Linked DNA regions of Drosophila melanogaster. Changing the gene in region 1 together with any one later gene gives a genetic interaction. Each region holds a gene or a part of one and is shown on either strand. Other genes may lie near its edges.

Region 1 (5,035 bases):
GCTGCCGCCGCTTGATGCTAATTGCGTGCGGCACATCCTACCACAGTGCGGTGGCCACCAGGCAGCTGCTGGAGGAACTGACCGAACTGCCCGTTATGGTGGAACTGGCCTCCGATTTTCTGGACAGAAACACGCCCATTTTCCGGGACGACGTGTGCTTCTTCATCTCCCAATCGGGCGAGACAGCGGACACCCTGATGGCGCTCAGATACTGCAAGCAGCGAGGAGCGCTCATCGTGGGCGTTACCAACACGGTGGGCAGCAGCATCTGCCGCGAGTCGCACTGTGGCGTCCACATCAACGCTGGACCCGAGATCGGAGTGGCCTCCACGAAGGCCTACACCTCCCAGTTCATTTCGCTGGTTATGTTCGCCTTGGTCATGTCGGAGGATCGTCTCTCGCTGCAACAGCGCCGCTTGGAGATCATCGATGGCCTATCGCAGCTGGACGAGCACATTAGGACTGTCCTCAAGCTGAACTCGCAGGTGCAGCAGCTTGCCAAGGAGTTGTACGAGCACAAGTCGCTGCTCATTATGGGCAGGGGCTTCAACTTCGCCACCTGTTTGGAGGGCGCACTGGTAATCCATTTGATAATTTGAGCTATAATTTAATCGAATCTCATTTATGCATCGTAATGCATGCATGGGAACGTAATGATGGAAAATAACCGATGTCAACAATTCACTTAACTTGTTTATTTGCCAAGTGCACTTAAATTAATTATTATGTTTGTCCCACGCTTCATGAGCTGAATTTAATCAATTAACTTGCTCATTGCAGAAAGTCAAGGAGCTGACGTACATGCACAGCGAAGGAATCCTGGCTGGAGAACTGAAACACGGACCACTGGCCCTGGTGGACAAGGAGATGCCCGTGCTGATGATCGTGCTGCGGGATCCGGTGTACACCAAGTGCATGAATGCACTGCAGCAGGTGACGTCCCGCAAGGGCAGACCGATCCTAATCTGCGAGGAGGGCGACAACGAGACCATGTCCTTCTCCACGCGTTCGCTGCAGATCCCGAGGACCGTGGACTGCCTGCAGGGCGTGCTCACGGTGATTCCGCTCCAGCTGCTGTCCTACCACATCGCCGTGCTCCGCGGCTGCGACGTGGACTGCCCCAGGAACCTGGCCAAGTCGGTGACCGTGGAGTAGGCGCCCCAACTATCTGGCTAACTGGCTCGCACCGTCTCAAGAATTCCATTTTAGTATCTGCCTGAGAAAAACAAAACAAACCCTAGCACTTAAGTTAAAATTTTCTGGTATTTTGTCGGATCAAAATCCGAACCCTTAACCCATTTGTGCTCCTTCTGGCTGAAGCCACATATGTTTAACCCCTACATTTGTAGCTGTACTGACCCTTTGTGTTGTGGACCCACTACTTTTTGTGAATGTGCAATTGAAATATAATTATTTCCAGTTTTTCTTTAAAAGTGTTTTGCTGCTTTCAATTAAAAATGGATTGGAAAATGTTTAACCAGTAAATTTGTTTGAAAACGGGAAAAACCAAACAAAGATCTATATGTACCTCACTTTACAAAAAATGCTTATCTGACATTAAACATTTGTTTCAAATGTTTAAAAAACGAGGGCCACGTCACGTTATTGCTTACGTTATGTTAATCACGTTGTAAATTTTAGAAAAAGAAAAATTACATATATATTTAATTCTGATAAAACTAAATAAAAATAAATTCTGATAAAAATAAATGATATTCCGAGCACTTAAGTAGTGTGAAATCGATAAGCCGCATAAATTTGAATGTCCTATTTTCAATTTCAAATCAAGTGGTAAATGGGGAAAAAATAAGTTTGTTCTCGAAAAGTAATTCTTTCTGGAAGATATTTCAAAATCATATTTAAAAACAACATTAAATAAATTAAATCAGTTGCGAGCCGGTTGGGACATCTCTATTAACCGTAGCTATCACATCGGTCGATATCTATCGCAACGCAACGCAAACGAATTGAACAACAACCCTGCTCTTTTTCTTTTGGACCCGTAGAACCACATGTCTGGTAACCGATTTTGATTTTCGTTTCGGCGGTATAATGCTCCAATTAATTGACTAATTGCGGTTAATTGACAAGACAAGTGAACGGCGCAAGTACGGTGCAACCAATAACGCAGCGAGTGTGTGTGCAATTGCGAAAAAACCCGATAAATAATATTCGTAACGTTCTGCCCAGCAGCGCGTGAGTGAGTGCGAGCGAGAGGCAGTGATTCGAGGTGCGTAGTGGTGCGAAAGTGTGTGTGCAAGGAAACCCGCAAAAGCAAAAGCAAAGCAACAATAACAACACACGCACGCACACACACACTTGTGTACGTGTTAACACGCGGAGCGGAAAGTGCGTAGTGAACATACGAAACGTACGAAACAAGAAGTGGGAGAGATAGCGGAATAAAATACAATTCTTGTTTCCATTTCAATCTCCTCTGGTGCGTATTCAAATCAATCTGAACCTTAACTTGTGTATGTGTGTGTGACCGCGTGCATCGTTTTGAAATTCGAGGCGAGCTGCAGTCGAAATCAGCTGTTTTAAAAGGCCCGACCAGGGCGGCACTAACAGCAATGCAGGCCGTTAGCCGAGTGCATTGGATATTGCATAATATTGGGTGAAGCGAAAACAGGGATATTGTGGTAGGCCACAGGGTATAATAAAACCAAATTGTAGCTATAAACGCAGTTTCTTTTATTTGCACCTTTAATTCGCTTCGATTTCCTGTCGTATTACCGGTTACGTTCAACGCCATGCCATTACGTTGTACTCCAGTTTGGCAAGTGGGCAGCTCGCTTTGCGGCAGCCCTGGTCGCTTAGCGTTGTGTTGCTGCTTCCTCTTCCTCTTGTGTGGGGCAAAAATCTAACCTCACTTCTTCTTCTTCTTTGGAACACTGCTGTGTGTGGCTGCTGCATAATAATATAATACCTCTCGATTCACGATTGGTCGTGCCTCGCAACGGATTTTCTCCGCTCGCCCAAACTGCAGTATATAATCGTGCAAAATCCGTGGCAGTAAATTCAATTCGCCGAGGAGCGTGACAGCTGAGGAAAATCGAGAAAACGGCCGCTGGGAGAGGCTTTTCCGATGGCCAGTTCCTAAAAAATCACCGCACTCCTCGGGAGGCTCTTCTGCAGTCCCACAAGAATAGTAATCCCCATTGCGAAAGCCCCAAGTTCAAAGTGCAGTGTATGTGCGTATGTGTGTGTGCTGTAATAGTTGCATTAAGTAAAGATGTAAATATTATTGCAGAAGGGCGAACTTGAGATTAATCGCCGTAATTGAGCAACAAACACCTCGCGTTCGCCCAACTCGCAATCTTGTTGGAAAATCCTAGTAGGCACAGTAAAGCTGGGCTTAGATGGCCATTCTTTAGTTTTAGTAAAGAGGTTTTAGTTTCCATTCCACTCTTTCTTTGCATTGGTATCAGTTTAATTTCAAAAGTCTATTTTTCTACGGCCAATAAGGCCATTAAAACTCGAGATGTTGACTTGAATTTATTAGCTCACTTAAAAGTTTAAGTTAATGCAAATTACTATACAAATTGCATTAGTATTGACCGCAGAATTGCCCTGAATAGTTCTATATGTAAATGACCCAAAACAGTCAAGCTTAGCTATAGTAACACTGCGTGGAAAAGTTATAAAATGACGTAATTGTAGTCTTTGGCCTGGATTTTCCTCTTGTTCCTACCAAACAGGCCTGTGAAAACTAATCCTTCTATTGCCAACCATTTCAGTTTGGAAGCCTATCTCTGGAGCCACCACATCCCGTTGAGCAGGCAAGGAAGCAGACAAGAGTTTCCCCAACCCGACAACGAGGATCAGCCGCTGACGTAGCCGGAGCAGGAGCAGCGAGTGTGCTGCCCACTCTGGAGAGGAAACCGGAGTCAAAGAAACAGCAGGAGTAGCAGCCGCAACTGAGGAGCATGTCCAGCAAGGAGGAGACGCCATCCACGGGAGGTGCCGCTCCTGTGGCCACTGTCGCCGCCTCGGGCAGCGCCACCACTTCCTACGCCAATGTGGTGCAGAACCTGGAGACCAAGAAGTCCGGCACCAGCAACACCACCACCACCACCGCCAGAGCCACCGTGGACAACAAAGAGAACCAGCCCAATCTGAAGAGCTTCAAGTCGTGGAGCGAGGAAGCCGCTGCCGCCGAGGCAGCCGGCGAATCGCCAATCGTCGGCAGCGTTAGCCTAGCCCAGACGGGTGAGAAGCGTGCCGCTGCCTCCGGTGGAGATAACACCGCCGAGAACTCATCGGAATTGGACGACAACAACGACTTCGTGCCGGTACTATCGCATCACCGCCGCGATCGCAAAAAGGCGCGCAAAGAGAAGCCGCGCGATCAGCAGCCGGCCGGAGGACGTGGCGATGGTCAGAAACCCCAGCAGGCTGGTGGCCGCCGCGTCCCCGGATCCTCCGACACCGAACGCAAGTCAGTGCGCCCACGTGCGCCGCGCGGCGGTAGTCCCCGCAAATCGGCAGCTGGAGCTGCTGGCGCAGCCGGATCCAATGCTGGAGCTGTGTCCTCCGCCGTTCCTGGTGGACCGAAAGTACACAAGGATCGCAAGGATACCTCGCCCAGTGCCAGCATCGAGGGAGCCGGCAGCAGCGGCAACGAGGCCAAGTCCGCCGACGGGGATCAGCAGGCGGGCGAGAAAGGCGCCGCTGGAGCAGCTCCGCCGCCCAAGCGATTCATTGCCGCCCCACCGCCCAAGGTCAACGCATGGAAGGTGAGTGATCAAATGATTGAATCTTTAAGTGATTGATTGTATTTTGGGGTATCTTGAATGGTAGGTTCATTAGGATAGGTTTTCATTAGAGTTGTTCAGGCATTGATTGGTATTCTTTGGATATTCCTAATTGGAAATCTTAATATATTCAAAAATCCAGAAGATTTAGAAGTGCACCGGAATAGAATTAGGTACATTTGCATTGACAAAAATTAGTTACTCGAACAAAACATTGGAAAATGCAAATGAAAAGCTTTGCTAAAATATAATCTAGTCAAAAGTCAATGCAAATATGC
Region 2 (5,024 bases), on another chromosome or scaffold:
GTAGAGTAGAGGACGACCGGATACCATTTTCGCTGAATATTGAAAGATCTGAAAGGGAGAAGAAGTTATATTAGTCTGTGCGATTTGAAAATATACTTGTGTACTGTCACACAAATAGGATTATTTTGATCACACTAATACTGAAATAAAAATGAAGTAGCTTTTGTTTGTGCAATATTTGGAAAAGTTATGGTTTGTTGTTTAATTTACAATTGGAAATAATGTGTGAACACCTCTTATCAGGGCAACAATTTACAAATCAAGTAGCGTCGTATATAATTACTTTAAAAAGCTTGTCATGGCTCAAGATAAGAAACGGTACACAATATGCAATTTTGTGTAGAATAACTTTGAAAACAAAGTAAAGAGCTTTGAATTTGCGTTTAAATTTAAGCGAGAATTTCAAATATGAAATCAATTTTGAAGAAAAGTGTGAGATTAAAGGGCTAATTTGTCAACACCATCCACATGAACGTTGTTTTTTAAATAACGACATATGCATGTTGTTATATTTGAAAAAACCTATTTAAAGGTTTCGAATTGGTTTTGCAAGTCACGAGACCCGCCTGCATGTGCTCGTCTGCATAAGTGTGCGTGTGTGTGTGTGTGTTTGCCAGTGTGTTTGATTTTGGTTTTTTCCTTTCTGAACTTTTGCGTATTAATAGCAACAAATAAATACGTAAATATAGACAACAACACAAATGCCGAGAGAGAGAGAGACAACGAGAGAGAACGACGAAAAAGGTGCAAAGCGATTTTTGAATGCCACGCGGAAGGGAAAAACGCAACGGGAGAGAGCGAGAGAGATGGAGCGATAGATCGCATGCAAAGAGCGCGTGCGCAAGAACGCAAAAGAGCGTCGGCGAAGAACGGAAGAGAGGCGCAAGAAGAAACCGTTACGTTTACGTATGGCAATGGCAAATGTTACGAAATCATTACAAAACAAAACTAAAAGTTACGAAAACAACAGCTTTGCCAGAAATTCATCACCTATTCACAAAATAAATGTGTGTTTTTGTATTACCACTAGGATAAAACTGAATTCGTTGCTTCTTCCGGTTTCGTTTGTATTTTATGTCGTTTTATGGCATCAATTCGCTTCGGCTTATTTTTTGGAGTTTCTTCTATGCTTTTGTTTATTTTCTTTCTTTTTTTGTTGGGTTTCGATATGCCGGCGAAATTGTTCGAGAGATTCGAGATATCGACTGCTCGATATATGAAGGGAAACTACTTTGCACGCCTTCTAATTGCCAATTCCTCTGGCTTTTTATTTGTATTATTTTTTTTATTTCGGCACCGATTCTCCGCTCTTCACTCCATCCGCTCTTCCGCATCGGCATACCCCCACCAACCCGCGAAAAAAGAGAGGATGCGTGGTGGCAAGTTTTTATTTAGCGCCCCTTTCCACCCACACACACACTCATCCCACCAAGCGGAAACGAGACAGAAAGCCGGAGAGAAGAAAAGAGAGTGGCGAGCTCATTAGAACAAAGAAATCCGAAAACCGTTAATCAAAATCCATTCAAATGGATTGTAAGACGCTCCTTCGAATTTGGTCAAAATTTCCGGGGCCCGAAAAGTGCAAGTCATGCCGAACAGTAGTTTAAAGCCATGAGATCTTTAGTACTTTTAAGTTACTCACTATAGAACCGATTTACCCACTATACTCCCGCTTCCCCCCATCCACAATATCGTCACTTTGTTAGGGCCCAAAGGTCCTCCTGTTACACAGTGGTCAGATGATAAGCTCAATCGACAAGCAACTGAAACACAAACATACATTGTATGTATGTACATATGTATATGTATATGCATATGTATATGTATAAATGTACATATAGCGACAGATCAACGGTTGATGGGAGCATGCAGGGGGTGGGGGATAAGGGGCCTAGTGGGGTGCTATAAAATGGCCATGGAAGGGCAACTGGCCAGACAGCTGTGGCATTTCCTAATCGTCGAAACCGGGTGACGGGAATTTTTCAGATTACGTTTTATACCCTTTGCTTAGAGTATTAAAACTTGTTGACAAAGCTTGCCACATTTTGCCTAAAATTCTTAATAAATGGATATGCATAAGAGCAGGGAGAAGTGTAGTTTTACACGTATTCGTATCAACTCTTGAATTAAAACGACAAAATGTAAGATAAGGGCACAACAACTTCGCAATGGTCTTCTAGTTTTTGTTATTTTTTTTTTGTATTTCCTACACTGTAAGCTTGTTTATACATGAATATTGATGTGTCTGCGTGTCTCGGCATGCAAACAAACATGTTTAGGCATGTTTTTTGTGTGCCTTTCGGTTATTTGTTATTTTCTGACTTTGAACTTGCACATTGTTGTTGCTCCAAACTCGAATACCAGTGCGGCCAAAAGAAGAGGAAGCCGTCGAACGGGGAGGTGAAGCAACAGCCTAAAAATTTGAAATTCCCCCGAACAAGCGAGAATGAGCGACACAGAGAGGCAAGCCAGAAGAGAGCACCAAAACAACAACAAATCAGGTGCAACAACATTGCCAGCTAGCCGAAAAAGTCCACATTGTTATAATCTTGGCAACGTGGTTTCCGATCATATGGTGGCCAAAAATGGGCGGGGATTGTATAATCGGGGGATATACTACTTTATATGTGTATACATATGTATGTATGCATAGACGCAATGTTTTCTTTGTGGGAGTGGCAGCTCCTTTTCGCCTTTGTTCTCTTTCAGGCGTAAAAAAACCGAACATTAACGGTGAAAGCTGTAACACACACAGACGCACTTATGCTCGGCATGTGTATGCGTGCGATTGTGGGTGTGTGTGTGTGTGAGTGCTGTCATTGTGTAATCGCCGAATTGAACTCCAAATTTTTTCCATAACCACTTACTGTCACTTTGCCGGAACAACAACAACAGCGGCAAGGCAGAGTCATACACTTAACAAAAAGTTGACAAAAAAAAGGTAGTTAAAACGTTGGCTATGGTACCGGGAAAGAGGTGCGAATAGAGCTCAAGACACGGACATTGGAACAAATCCACACAGAACAGAACATGACACCATTTTCCGTCACATCTCTCTGTTTTGGCAAACACACACACGCACTTTTTTTGTACTAGGTTATGTTCCGCGTGCTGCGATTTCTTACCTTTGTGAACCGCTTGGGTAACTTATTTTGCTCACTATCTTTGGGTGCTTTCAAAGCTATCTACTGCACACGCGAGTTGTGTATTGTTTTTGCTTATTTGCTGGCGATTTACTGTCGTTTTCTCAACGCTAAAGTGCTGCACGAATTAAACACGTGTCTACGTTCCACCTTTTACAAATCACAATAACATGGCCGGCGTGCGGCAGTGTTGCCATGCATCCGCAAAACTCTGGCAATCGGAGCTGCCTGCTTAATCACCCGCACTCGCGATGGCCAAATCCTCGAATTACAAGAGCCTTTGTGCACACAAAAAAAAAATATAGAAAAAATCACTTCACAGTTTGAATCGCAGCCCAATTATTTCTAGAAAGCCGAAAAACGTGTGCACGGAGTGCTGGTTATCAAATCGAATGGCAGCACATGCACAAACAGGGCTGCCCACGCTCATCGATAGGTATCGATTGGGGCAATAGGTATTTTCTTAGGCGGCGTTGCCACCGAATGTGCACAAAAGTGTTGCAAATTTCGCGATATTTCGTTACGATATTTTGTGGAGCAATACTTTTGGGCATTTGTAATTTTCCAACGTAGTTCTTGGGAAGTTCTGATTTCATTTTGTCTTACCACAATATGCTTGTTCATGCGAATTTCAGCCTATTTTTTGTCAGTATAGCGCACTATAAATCGATAATTTCGAAATAATATTTATATAGGAGCAGATAGCGACTTCAATATCTCAAAGAAAACAATCACTAAAAATCTTCTTTTTAATTTAACACAGTGATGTGTGTAATTCCAAATGATATTTTTTTAAATTTATAAAGCGGCGCAAAATAAAAAAAAGACCAAGCTAGTTAGTAGTGAATGCATACATAGATTTTTGAAATCCCTTCAATGATTTAATTACCTCCTGTTTGAGCGAAGAACATAAGCAGTGTGGATAATTAATTAAAATAATAATAATAGCAATTATTTGCAGCATAAGTTGAATGATATAAATGAATTATTTGCACATGTTTCGAGACCCTATAGTTTCTGACAACGGTTCAAATTGACCACACGCGAGATTTGCGACGAAAATAAGCAACGGTCACACTTGGTCACGTCGTTCACGTTTTCTATTTACGCATAAACGAATAAAAAGCGCCTAAAAGTGCTATAAAACATATATGTTGTGTGCTCATGTGCTACACATATCGCAGCGAGTAAATTTAAGGTAGTAGGCAGATCTTGTTGTGCATGTGTGTGGGTAATCACAGTTCTAGTTTTGTAATTTTTTATATTTCCTACACTGTAAGCTTGTTTATACATGAATATTGATGTATGTGCGTGTCTCGGCATGCAAGCAAACATGTTTAGGATTGTTTTTTGTGTGCCTTTCGGTTATTTGTCATTTTCTGACTTTGAACTTGCACATTGTTGTTGTTCCAAACTTGAATACCATTGCGGTCAGAAGAAGAGGAAGCCATCGAACAGAGAGGTGAAGCAACAGCCTAAAAATTTGAAATTGACCACACGCGGGAGTTGCGACCCAAATAAGCAACGGTCACACTTGGTCACGTCGTTCACGTTTTCTATTTACGCATATACGAATAAAAAAAAGTGCATAAAAGTGCTGTAAAACATATATGTTGTGTGCTTACGTGCAACGCATATCGCAGCGAGTAAATTCAAGGTACTACTCAGATCCTGTTGTGCATGTGTGTGGGGGTAATCACAGTTCGTGTCTATGTGTGCGTGCGTATGGGCTTGATTGGTTGGGTGCGTGTATGAGTTCGGGGTCCTTTGGATTTTCGAGAAATCATCGCAAAAAGGGTAATACATATATGTATGTATGTTTGGGTGGTCAAACAGCGGGGGCACTCAATTTCGCTGGCTGGCAGCGGGGCGACGAACTTA

Evidence for each region. Genes that interact genetically often act in the same process or in processes that back each other up.
Region 2: of larp (region 1) and spoon, changing one suppresses a phenotype caused by changing the other (phenotypic suppression), as found in Drosophila melanogaster (one study listed by BioGRID).

What each region holds. Positions count from the first base shown.
Region 1 is NT_033777.3:28,333,413-28,338,447, reverse strand, and holds the start of larp (La related protein), read left to right. Parts: upstream 1-2,007; 5' UTR 2,008-2,440; intron 2,441-2,906; exon of another isoform or gene 2,907-3,194; intron 3,195-3,740; 5' UTR 3,741-3,929; coding exon 3,930-4,739; intron 4,740-5,035. Other genes in the region: Gfat2 (Glutamine:fructose-6-phosphate aminotransferase 2), read left to right, coding at 1-578, 781-1,155. UniProt on the Drosophila melanogaster protein: RNA-binding protein that regulates the translation of specific target mRNA species downstream of the mTORC1 complex, in function of growth signals and nutrient availability.
Region 2 is NC_004354.4:5,417,327-5,422,350, forward strand, and holds the start of spoon (spoonbill), read right to left. Parts: upstream 3,011-5,024; 5' UTR 2,913-3,010; coding exon 2,868-2,912; intron 1,771-2,867; exon of another isoform or gene 991-1,770; intron 49-990; coding exon 1-48.